2 linked regions of the Arabidopsis thaliana genome follow. The protein of the gene in region 2 interacts with the protein of the main gene of each other region in a biochemical or structural test. Each region holds a gene or a part of one and is shown on either strand. Other genes may lie near its edges.

Region 1 (6,288 bases), 4.0 Mb from region 2:
TGTTCTTATGTCTCTTTCTTGATGCTGTTCAGGTACTTTCAAACTCTCACTGCAGTTCTCTGAAGATTATCCCAATAAACCACCAACAGTTCGGTTTGTGTCACGGATGTTTCATCCTAATAGTAAGTTATAGAGATACAACATTGGATTTTCTATCCACCTGGTTGATGTTCAGCTTTTGCCTCCAATTAACGTTCTTCTGCTCTATTCGTTGTGTAGTTTATGCAGATGGGAGTATCTGCTTGGACATTCTACAAAACCAGTGGAGTCCAATCTATGATGTTGCTGCTATACTTACCTCCATCCAGGTGAATTCAAAATGCCATATGAACATCTCTTGATGCCCTTAAAAGCTTGAATTGCTTTCTTCTTCTCTAATCCGTTTTTCCCTTTGTTATTGCAGTCCTTGCTCTGTGACCCTAATCCGAATTCTCCTGCAAACTCGGAAGCTGCTCGGATGTACAGCGAAAGCAAGCGCGAGTACAACAGGAGAGTGCGTGATGTTGTTGAGCAAAGCTGGACTGCTGACTAGTAGTAGTTTGTTGTAAGCGTTGTAGCTCTCTCTACTTTCTCTCAATCACGATTCAGCAACAGCTTTCTTCTCTTTTCATTCATGTCTTGTGTTTCCAAAACTATTTAAGTGATTCCATGCTTTGATGTAACCCAACATCCTTAAAAAAACAACTTTGTACCAAACCATCTGAATTATTCACTTTTGTGTATATATGTATTACGATTTACTTGCTAGCTACAAAAAACAACTTTGTACCCAAATTCCACAAAGTTGCGATATTTTATTTAAGGGTTTGTGGCCTTATCCTTCTGTTACACCCTTTCATTGCCTTAACAATTGCATTGCTTTCTTTGTGACGCTAATCCAATTTCTACACCAAAATCTGAAGCTTCACATGAGACTCGTAAGTACCTTAAGTATTAGTAGGTTCAACTTTATGTATTCTCATATAGGCCTTGAATTTGACATTGATCAGTTTCTCTATGTTCTTCAAGGATGGTGATTTTATATTTCTCTTCTATAGTTCTGAACCACCAAGCCCGAGGTTCTCACTGCTTGTCCATCCTTGTTGCACTTGAATTGTGTACTGCAGATTCCATACAACATCCTCTATCGATGGCCGCTTCCTCTGATCTTCACAAAGACAGTTAATGGCAAACTCTACTGTGGTTCTCAATGACTCGTATGCATATGTTCCTCTCACACACGGATCTGCCAAGCTACGCAACACCGATGGTTCGTCTCTCAAACTGTTCTCCAGCTGAAGCTTCAAGCTCCCCAACTCTGAAGATGCAGCTGCTATTACTTTGCCTGTGATGATCTGAATTAGTATCACTCCAAACTGGTACACATCTTCTTTCTCTCCATCTTCATTACTAGGGCTCTCCGCTCCAACCTGAAATTCCCCCAGAAGGTTATATATTTCATGAGAGGTTAAACTGAAGATTAGAAGCTATATCCTGATTATATTATATCTGGTTTGTTTATATACCTTGGATGGTAAAGGAATACTATAACCACTGAGTTTTACAGTGAGTGTTTCATCAAGTAAAACATTCTCTATTTCCAAATTGTTCCCAAATATTCCTGGTGCCACTCCTGTGTGCAAGAACTGTATTCCTCGAGCAACTCCAATCGCTATCGACATTCTCTGAGGCCATTTCAACACCTCTTTCTTTCTCCAATCTGCCAAAAACATTTCCAAATAATTAGTTTCCCAACAAAAATATAAGTTCTTGAAATCGATAATCTTTTTCAAGTATTACCGGTGAGGTAATCCCTCAAAGACCCGTTAGAGATATATTCTTGGACAATGAAAATAGTGCTTCCGGCATAAGGATGATGATCTTGATAAGTACCAATGCAGTGTCCAAGAACACTGACCAAATGCATATGCCTTAGCTTTGATAAAACTTCCATTTGTTGAGCTAAATTCTGTGTTGAATTCTTCTGTTTCAGCTTAATACACCTCACTGTCACTGCTATGCCTTCTCTAAGACAACCTTTGTACAGCTGTTTTGAAATTAGATATATCGATTAGTTAGACACTCGGATCAATTTTAAATCATGTCTTATTTACATTTTCCTTTACCTGTTCTCCACAGAGATTCTCTGCATCAAAATTGTTGGTTGCTTCTTCCAGTTCCTCCAAAGAGAAAACTCGGTATGGTGATAGTCCAATCACCGCGGATCTCATGGTTTGCGGTACACGTCCTGCATTTGAAAAAATCAAGCTAGTTAGGTTAATGGGTGTGAAAACTTGATTCAAGATTTCAAAGTAATAGCCTACTTAGATCTGGTACTGTCTTTGATGTGGTGGACCTGGTGGTGTTGCTGCAAACAGTGACCTGATCGACGTTGTTTGCTTCCAAAGGCTCTTCTTTTGATCTTGATTTTCTCATCCTAACCAAAACCAAGCCAGCTAAAACCGCTGAAACGAGGATCACACCGATGATAATGCCAATCACCAATCCAAGTTCGATTCCTGTATCTTCTTCTTTCCTTTCTTTATCTTTAGTGTCAGACTTCACAGCAGCTACTGCTTGCTTTGCTTCGTTTTCACAGAAGGTAACTGGACGCTGATACTTTGCAGAAGGAGAACCATTTATAGACAAGCAATTGAATGTGAAGAGCAGTACTGTCTGTTTCTTGGAAGAGAAGCAAGATGGAAGCTTCCCAGTCAGAAGATTCCGAGAAACATCTAAAATTCTAAGCTTGGAGTTGCACAACGATGAATTTGGAAGTGATCCACTCAGCAAGTTTTGTGCTAAACTTAGATTCTGAAGCGAAGGAAGCGAAAGCAGGAATCTTGGGATTGAGCCAGTGAACTTGTTGGAGGAAAGATCTAAGCTCTGAAGCTTATTCAGCTTCTTGATCTGTTCTGGAATCTTTGATCCAAAAGAGTTGTTCTTCAATGAAATAGTAATCAAGTTACTTGCAAGTGAAGGAACAACTTCAGGACCGAGTTTATTACCGCCTAAATTCAGCTCTTGAAGATTCGACAATCCTCTGAGATCAGGAACACTTCCGTTAAACAAATTGTTCGCTAGAACAAGACTTCTCAGATTCTTCAACGACGAGATCTCTTTAGGAATATTCCCAGAGATGAAATTAGAACTGAGATTCAGAGATTGAAGAGATGAAGATAACCTGATGATCTGTGAAGGGAGAGGACCAGAGATGCCAAGAGAGACCAGAGACAATGTCTTTAAGTTTGAGAGTTTTGTAAGAACAGTGAATAGTGAGTCGCTTGAGAATCTTCCGGGGAGCTTAACGGTTCTGTTCCCCGTGACGGTTAATTCAGTTACATGACCATTGAAACAGAGGATTTTGAAAGAAGGAGAAGAAGGGAGGTAGCAGAAATTGGTCCAGTTGCTCCATGATCGAAGAGTTGGTGGATATTGTAAATGCTTTTGGATTTCTAATAGAGTTCTTGATTCACTTGATATTAGCTGTGATTCTGAGACTGATGGCAGAAGAAAAAGAAAGAGAAGAAAAGTGAGAGAAAAGGCCTGGCTTTTAGAGGAACTATGCATTCTCTCAGGAAGAATTACAGAGAAATTAGAAAGAAAGATGTTATTGTGGCTTAAGGAACAGAAGGTCTTTCTGTTATTGTAGCCGAGATTAGTGTTAGTATTTGTTTAGTAGTCTAAAAAAATGGTGTTTTGTACATAAATTCTAGAGATTTTTTTAGATCGGAAGCAGATTTTCTAGGGAAATTGGGAGATAAAAAAATGAAACAATGTTTTTGGGACAGAGCAAGAAACAAAATTAAGTGGAGAGAAGTTCTGCTGAGAAGAAGACAATAAATACAAATTTTGTTTAATTTTTGTTTCTTATGTTGATTGTTCATAAGTTTCACATTGACAGACTGTTTTACTGCTTCGAAGAAAGTGAATGAAATTTTTTAAAAGCATAAAATGAATTAGATCCTTAAAATACGTAAAATCCACATGAAATATCTGACTATTTATCTACTTTTGATCTAAAATTTCCACAATTTAGAGTTATTTATTTACTTCAACTGGTTCTTAATTAATTTCTCTGTTATGGTCAGAAGACCTTTCTTTATTACTCATATAACATGCATTTATTTGATACATAATACATGCATAAACATACAAATACATACATGTTTGACGAATAAATGTTGTGTAGTAGTACTTCTCTCGAAATCCGTTGATCTCTTCCCCAAGGTAAATTCTTTCATCTTTACCAATTTTTTAAAAAATATAAATGAATAAACTTACGAATAAATGTTTGTAGTTTCTTTTATAACATTTTAACTCCTGTAATATCAATACTACTTGTAAAATAACAAAAAATACATACTTAATTAATGAGCAACGTTGCATTAATTGTTAATGCATAGAGATTTGATAGATATATAGCGACCAGACAGTATGTAATAAAAGTCAACCAGACCAGTGAACGAGTTTTTTTACACGTGCTCTTTCGTCAATGTAAATATGTAATGATCAGATCGTGCCGTTAAGGATCATCCAAAGCCACCGTCGCAAGGAAAATCTAACCCCGTTCGTTGGATTAAAAGCTCAAATAAAGAATTACATGTCCTAACCAAATCTTTTTCTCGAACTACACTTTTAACCACTTGTTGTTTTTCTCGAAACCAGAAGGACACCAAATGATCATCTATATACAGTAAACCAACAAATGATATAAATCGTACTTCTTTTTTCTCGTGGTCATCAATCAACAATTCAATATCAAACTGTTACAAAAAATACCAATCTCAAACTAATAATACTACCAATTAGTTCGGCCATGATATATTTTCATCACTATTGTCGGTGAGAAATGAGTGTCATTTTGTTTTCGTGTGTTTGGAAAGTGTTGAGATTCTAACAAATGTTCAGCTGTTTTCTTTTTGGTGTGTGAATTGTGATGAACTGTCCATTACTTTCTCTTTTGTTCCTTTATTCTTTTTACATCGATCTCTCATTGTTCTTTACTTCTTTTTAAGTGGCCTGACGTGCGATCCTAATAAAAAGAAGGTTGGTTATATACAATTTTTGACAAAAACCAAAAAAGTTTTGTTGTATAAGAGGAATTATAGAAACCATGCATCACCAACACCAAGTAGTAAAAAGTTTCATCCCAAAACAAGTGACCGTCATCGTAGTAAGTTAAAAAAATGGCTGAAAACAAAAGTTTTCAAGTTCAAAATACAAGGTTTTATCAGAAGCACTCAAAACCAATATTTTGTCACAGCTTCCAAGTTTCCAAGTAATCATGATGAAAAAATATACTATTTTCTAAAAACAAAAAGGTAAGGGAAGATAAAATGCGAGTTTGCAAGCACATCACATGCAACTGCCTTTGTAATAAGCGACACTGCCAAAGTATCAATTAATATTATACAACATGCATTTCTTTTCAATTTTATATGCAGCTTTATTATTAAAATCCTTTGTCAGATAACTTACAAACTGTTATTTTTTGGGCTTATAGGCTTATTAAAGGTTAGAATTTAAACCCATATATGTATCCAACTAATTTAAGGCCCAAAATATGCATCTTTAGGTCCATATAAATTAGGCATGTTCAAAATAAATTACCCAAATTATATAGCATATAGTTGAATAAATTCAGAAAAAAAAAAATATCATAAAGTTTACACTGTAGTTTAGTTGTGACATAAAATTTGCTAATGTAAAGTTATCCACAAAAAAAATTCAAACATTTTAAGATATTCATTTCTTAAAACCAGGATTCAACTTCGAACAGAATCAAATCTAAACTTTATTATAGTGATAATTTAATCATGTTTCTTTCACATTCGTTTATGAAACGTCAAAAAATATCTAGTTAGAATACAATACATTCCTATCATGAGCTGGTTAGTGGTTACGATTTAAATAATTGATTAGGAATACTAGATTAGATGTTTGGATTAAGCGAACTAACCACTTGGATAATGACACCCATCATTCTTGATTGTTAGTATTGTTTTAGAAAAAAGGTTATCACTTATCATCAATGTCATGATCATGATCCAAGAAAAAGGAGGGTATTTCTGTAAATAACTCCCTTTGACTCCTTTAATTGGGCCCAGAAAGGCCTAGTTTTAGACTTTGCCTACACATCATTCCAAACGACGTCGCTTTGAACCGAAATTTCTTTTGTTTTTGTCTATTCCTTAATTAATTTTTTCTTTCTAATTAAAAGTGGTAATATCTGTCATCTTCTTCTTTCGCTATCAGTGGAACCGTTGGGGAAGACTATTTGTTCACAGTGAGCTACCACTATGCCTT
Region 2 (6,115 bases):
TTTCTAAAATCTTATCTAGCACTAAAGTTTTGACATCAGCCTTATTTGTCTATATGTATGGGTGACATGGTAATAATTTCTTTAACTAAATCTCTGGGATGATTTTTTAAATTAATTTGTAGTTTCTTTAAGAAGTTACACAACATGAGGTTATAACAATTTTACGTGACATATTTATAACTCACAAATGAACTATTTTTTGTTTTTTATATCTCAGGTGATCGTAAATGCTTTATAATCTCGGGATATGGAAAACAATGTTAAATTGAGCTATTTTGTTTTTGAAATATGAAAATTCATAGTTTAAAATTTACACAATCGATATAATATTCTACAGATTGAGAAATTTATTACCCGTATATAATGATAAGTAAGATTGATTTCAAGAACTTTTGGATCATGAGTCCCTCTATTTTGTTAGTCTTAGTTTAGGACTCTTCAGATTCAAAGTTTTATATATTAAAAAAGTAAATAGTTTCTAAACATGAGTGTTATATCATCGATCCAAACAATTGGTTTTGACAACGTTGCACTATTTAGGTAAAATATGCATCCATGGAAACCAAGATTAATAAACATGATGTTTCGAAAATATTAAAGAAAACTGCAATAGAGAAAGAAAAAAGAAAAAAAACACAAAGACCAAGTGAGATCATGTTATTGCGTAATACATGTGGATTGCGTAGTTTGGTAATGATGTTAGATAGTCTATGCGCTCCAGTGCTCCACAGCAACGGCTAACTTCTCGAACACACGCTCCTATTTTCAACGTGCCAAAGTTAGAGCCTAGCTTTGATTATCTTTTCTGGTCTATACTCATATTTTGCTGCTCCATGTATCCACCATCTCTTTTACTGGGGCACACTATATATATGTAAAGTGCTTTTACTGATAAAAAATAGTAAACAAAATGATATTTTAATCTTTTTACGTTCTCGTAGTATTCTTTTGTCCAGTCTAATTTACAAAGACTGAGAACATTCATTCTTCACTTAATATTATATAGTGTTGGTGCCTTGGTGGTATGGATGATTGATATGCTGAGAAAGCAAAGCATAAAACATAGGTCCAGGCATGTCTGTTCAATGTATGATATCTCTTTTAGCAACACTTTTCTTCTATCCTATCGGAACTGCAATTACTTTTTTGGTGTCATTCTCATTCATGTGCTTTATTTTATAGGAAATTTTAATTATTTGAAAGAAGTTTCTATTATTGGCTGTTAGTAAAACCTCTAAAATTAATCTCACTACTATGAATCAGCATCTATAACTTCATAGTATATCACCACCACAACTATGTTTTTTTTGTTAAATCCCAAACTGTTATTAAATGTGAAAGATCTTTAATCAAATACATATAGACAATCTCCATTTGTATAACCTTATGTTTATTTCCTTTTAGTTAATTAGCTTGAACTAAGTTTCACAAATTACATTTACATCTACACATTCACATGCACATACATTGAATATCAACTAATTTTAAAACTGATTAGTTAGTATACGTTCGGAGTAGCTAGACAACTATAGACATCATGATTCACATTTTTCAATAAATTGATTACTTGATGATACAAATGTGTGTGTTAACGGCTGGAAAACATACAAAGAGGGACATCATAGTTCATAAAGGTGTTCCCTTTATATATAGTTATACATAGAATGTGGGATAATCATGGAGCCGTACTAATCACTCTATTATTTTCTTTACAAAATAAAGTAGAAGTAGGGGTATTACTTTTTCTACTCCAGCTTACTCTTGTCTACTGCAACTATTATTCATTCGACTGGAACCATTAGCTCATACATATCTTGTATACAATTACTTAAAAATTTGTATTGTAAATGATAATCATAAATATACATTTTTGTTTGGTAATTATAATCATATTAAATATAGTTAATTGTTAAAGGTCGGTTAGTTTGTCTCATTCCTTTTGAAGTATGAAAATCACAAATTTTCATTAAGAGAAAACGAAAAATAACAAATAAAACAGCTTCTTTTAATATTAAAGTTTTTTTCTTGAAAAATTGTAATAATAATATGTGAGCTAAAAGTATATAAAAATTGGCATAAGTGCTCTTTCGTTATGATAAAGAAAGTGCATGAATTTCTCCGCAAGAGCTAATCTTTTGCACATTTGTCATCATCATTCTCAAGTTTTGTATTTTCCCATCATTCTATATCACTTAAACTATTCAACATTGATTTTAATTCACCAATAAATGAAAACAGAAATTTGTATAAATAAAAATACTAATAAATTGTTGATCTCAAAAAAAAAAAGTTGGGATATTTATAGATAGATACCAAAGTCCAAAGGTCCAACTTAGGAAGCCCGAATCTTCTATCAACGTCTCTCACAGTCCCTTTTCATGCTTTCACACTCTCACTGCTCTTCTCTCTCCAATTCTCTCATCAATCTCCGCAAACTCTTCTCATTCTTGATATCTCCATTACCAAAAGTAAACTCTTGTCCAAATTCTGCTACTTTTTTGTACTGATTCCTCCGAAATGTCGGTGGGATCTCTTTTATTCATGTTTCTTCTTATCTGGAACTTCAATGGCGAATTGAATGCTCTAAACGACGAAGGGTTTGCTCTTTTAACTCTGAAGCAGTCTATTTCAAAAGATCCAGATGGTTCTTTAAGCAATTGGAACTCAGAGAATCAAAACCCTTGTTCTTGGAATGGAGTCACTTGTGATGATAACAAGGTTGTTGTCTCTCTTAGCATCCCAAAGAAGAAACTTTTAGGTTATCTTCCTTCTTCTCTTGGTTTACTCTCTAATCTCCGTCATTTGAATTTGAGAAGCAATGAGCTTAGTGGGAACTTACCTGTTGAGCTTTTTAAGGCTCAAGGTCTTCAAAGTTTGGTTCTTTATGGGAATTTCTTGTCTGGGTCCATTCCAAATGAGATTGGTGACTTAAAGTTTCTGCAAATTTTGGATCTTTCTCGTAATTCTCTTAATGGGTCTATTCCAGAATCGGTTTTGAAGTGTAATAGGCTTAGGAGCTTTGATTTGAGTCAGAATAATCTCACTGGTTCTGTTCCTAGTGGATTTGGTCAGTCTTTGGCTTCTTTGCAGAAGCTTGATCTTTCTTCTAACAATCTTATTGGTCTTGTTCCTGATGATTTGGGGAATTTGACTAGATTGCAAGGAACTCTTGATTTGTCTCATAATTCGTTTAGTGGCTCGATTCCAGCTAGTTTGGGGAATTTGCCTGAGAAAGTTTATGTCAATCTAGCTTACAACAACTTGAGTGGACCAATCCCACAAACCGGTGCTTTGGTGAACAGAGGACCAACTGCATTCTTGGGGAATCCAAGACTCTGTGGCCCTCCATTGAAGGATCCTTGTTTGCCAGATACGGATAGTTCTTCAACTTCTCACCCTTTTGTACCGGATAACAACGAGCAAGGTGGAGGAGGGTCAAAGAAAGGAGAAGGTTTAAGTAAAACTGCTATTGTTGCAATTGTGGTTTGTGATTTCATTGGAATCTGCATTGTGGGATTTCTCTTCTCTTGTTGTTACTTGAAGATTTGTGCACGTCGTAATAGTGTGGATGAGGAAGGCTATGTGTTGGAGAAAGAAGGGAAAGAAAAGAAAGGTTCCTTCTGTTTCAGAAGAGATGGATCAGAGTCCCCTTCTTCGGAAAATCTTGAGCCACAACAAGATCTTGTTCTGTTGGATAAACATATTGCTTTGGATTTAGATGAGCTGCTTAAGGCTTCAGCTTTCGTTCTTGGAAAAGGCGGGAACGGGATTGTGTATAAAGTTGTCCTCGAAGATGGTCTAACGGTCGCTGTTAGGAGACTGGGAGAAGGAGGTTCCCAAAGATGCAAGGAGTTTCAGACAGAAGTTGAAGCAATTGGGAAGCTAAGGCATCCGAATATCGTTAGTCTTAAAGCTTATTATTGGTCAGTTGAAGAGAAACTTCTCATCTACGACTACATTCCTAATGGAAGCCTTACCAATGCACTCCACGGTAAACTATAAAACCTTTATGATAATACTTCTCATATCGTTTCTCTGTCTTGAAAACTCAATTTTGGTTTTTGTGTATGCTTAGGAAATCCTGGAATGGTGTCATTCAAGCCTCTGTCTTGGGGAGTTCGGTTAAAGATAATGAGGGGAATCTCAAGAGGGCTGGTGTATCTTCACGAGTTTAGTCCTAAAAAGTATGTTCATGGATCTCTGAAACTCAGCAATATACTGTTGGGACAGGATATGGAGCCTCATATCTCGGATTTCGGACTTATGCACCTCTCTAGCATTGCTGGAACATTGGAATCAACTACAGTTGACCGACCATCCAACAAGACCGCCTCATCGATTGGATCATCTGCAAACTTGAGCTCATTTTATCTGGCTCCTGAAGCCACTAAAGCAACAGTGAAGCCATCACAGAAATGGGATGTATACTCATTCGGAGTGATCTTGCTAGAGATGATAACGGGAAGATTACCGATTGTTTTCGTGGGTAAATCGGAAATGGAGATAGTCAAGTGGATACAAATGTGTATCGATGAGAAGAAAGAGATGTCAGACATTTTGGATCCTTATTTGGTGCCTAATGACACAGAGATTGAAGAAGAGGTCATCGCCGTGTTGAAAATTGCAATGGCTTGTGTTAGTACTAGCCCCGAGAAACGTCCACCGATGAAGCATATCGCTGATGCTTTGACCCAAATTTGCCTTCAGTGACTCGTAACAAAAACGGTTGCAAGTCAATTGTGTGTATGTAATGTGTTTAAAGGAAAAGTCTTACTGTTGTTGTTAGTTCCCCTTGTAATATCGAAATCTTATGTTACTTCAAATAGAGTTTCTTTGTAACATATAGCTTTACTCATTTTCATGGTACATACTATATGGATAAGCTTCATAATCATAAGGTTACACATTTATGATAAAAGTATACTGACGTCACACACAAAAGATAGATAAACCTATATATACTGATCATGGTAAGTCCTTATTTATGGAGTTTAATTATAGAAAAAGAGAATAATTTCTCTGAAAATTCATAATTTTCTTATGATCAAAAGGGTAATGTTGAACTGAAATTAGGAGGCTGTGTTCCAACGCTTTCTCTTAAAATCCTTTCCATCTCTGCTGCACTATGAATATTCCCTCCCTGTAATCATTTTTTTGTTAATACAAATCCATGAAAATGTTTTATCTTATTATAATTTTAATCATGTAATATTATGTGATAGTTACCTGAAATATATCCGTTGGCTCAATATCCAAAGAATTAAGGTCGTAACATGCACTTGCCGCTGAGAGTTTCATGGACAAAAACTGTAGTCAAGAGGCCAAAGCAGGAAAACATTTAAGTATTAGTGGGATATTATAAAAGTTAATGGGATGTTTGAACTTTGAAGAGTGAAATCAATGGCCTAACTAACCTCGATTTGATTCTGGAGTGATCGTACATAATCTATGATGACATCAAGCATCACTGCCATTCCCATTGCCTGCATCACGTTTTGAATTATCATTATAGAGAATAAACCCATTTTGATTTATTACTGTGGAAAAAAAAAATCGCTATACAAAAAAACAATCTGTTCATTTACGTAAGAGACGCTGCCACACCCTTTTAGATTTTGGCGTTCCGAAAAAACAAAAACAAAAACTAATTATTTCTATAGTTTTAAAATATTCTATCACATGATTCCTAATTTTTTACACTTTAATTCAATGATACATAGAAAAAAAATATTAATAGTTAAAGAATTGTGAGCTTGAAAAATTATCTTTAAAAAGTGTTTTTAAACCAAAAAATAGCACCAGAGTTACTTGGATTTAGAGGTAACTAATTTATCTAGAGTTACTTGTTTTTAGAGTTTTGTTGATTTTATTTTAATTACAAAACAAAAATTAGGGAGTTGTAGACAACAAACAAACAAAAAGAAATATTAGGGTTTGCGTTAATTCAAGTACCTTGTAGCATCCTGGAACAAGGTCTTGTAAGCATTTCAGCCTTTCATTGATCTTCTCTCTTCGTACCTTTATGCATTCCACAAAGAATCCAACACAACTAAGAAAAGTGAAGTTTTTTGTACTTTTGAGTATATATGTATTTGTAGAATTACCCTTTCAGCCA

What was found. Proteins that work in one complex are often made in the same cells at the same time.
Region 1: the proteins of AT1G25320 (region 2) and AT1G14390 form a complex in vitro, tested with the Arabidopsis thaliana proteins (one large-scale study listed by BioGRID).

What each region holds. Positions count from the first base shown.
Region 1 is NC_003070.9:4,921,538-4,927,825, reverse strand, and holds AT1G14390 (Leucine-rich repeat protein kinase family protein), read right to left. Parts: upstream 3,790-6,288; 5' UTR 3,550-3,789; coding exon 2,304-3,549; intron 2,228-2,303; coding exon 2,106-2,227; intron 2,027-2,105; coding exon 1,780-2,026; intron 1,700-1,779; coding exon 1,506-1,699; intron 1,410-1,505; coding exon 1,032-1,409; 3' UTR 912-1,031; downstream 1-911. Other genes in the region: UBC1 (ubiquitin carrier protein 1), read left to right, coding at 33-122, 220-308, 404-532.
Region 2 is NC_003070.9:8,875,471-8,881,585, forward strand, and holds AT1G25320 (Leucine-rich repeat protein kinase family protein), read left to right. Parts: upstream 1-2,319; 5' UTR 2,320-2,517; coding exon 2,518-3,991; intron 3,992-4,075; coding exon 4,076-4,710; 3' UTR 4,711-4,918; downstream 4,919-6,115. Other genes in the region: CES (basic helix-loop-helix (bHLH) DNA-binding superfamily protein), read right to left, coding at 5,045-5,140, 5,227-5,307, 5,415-5,483, 5,953-6,018, 6,105-6,115.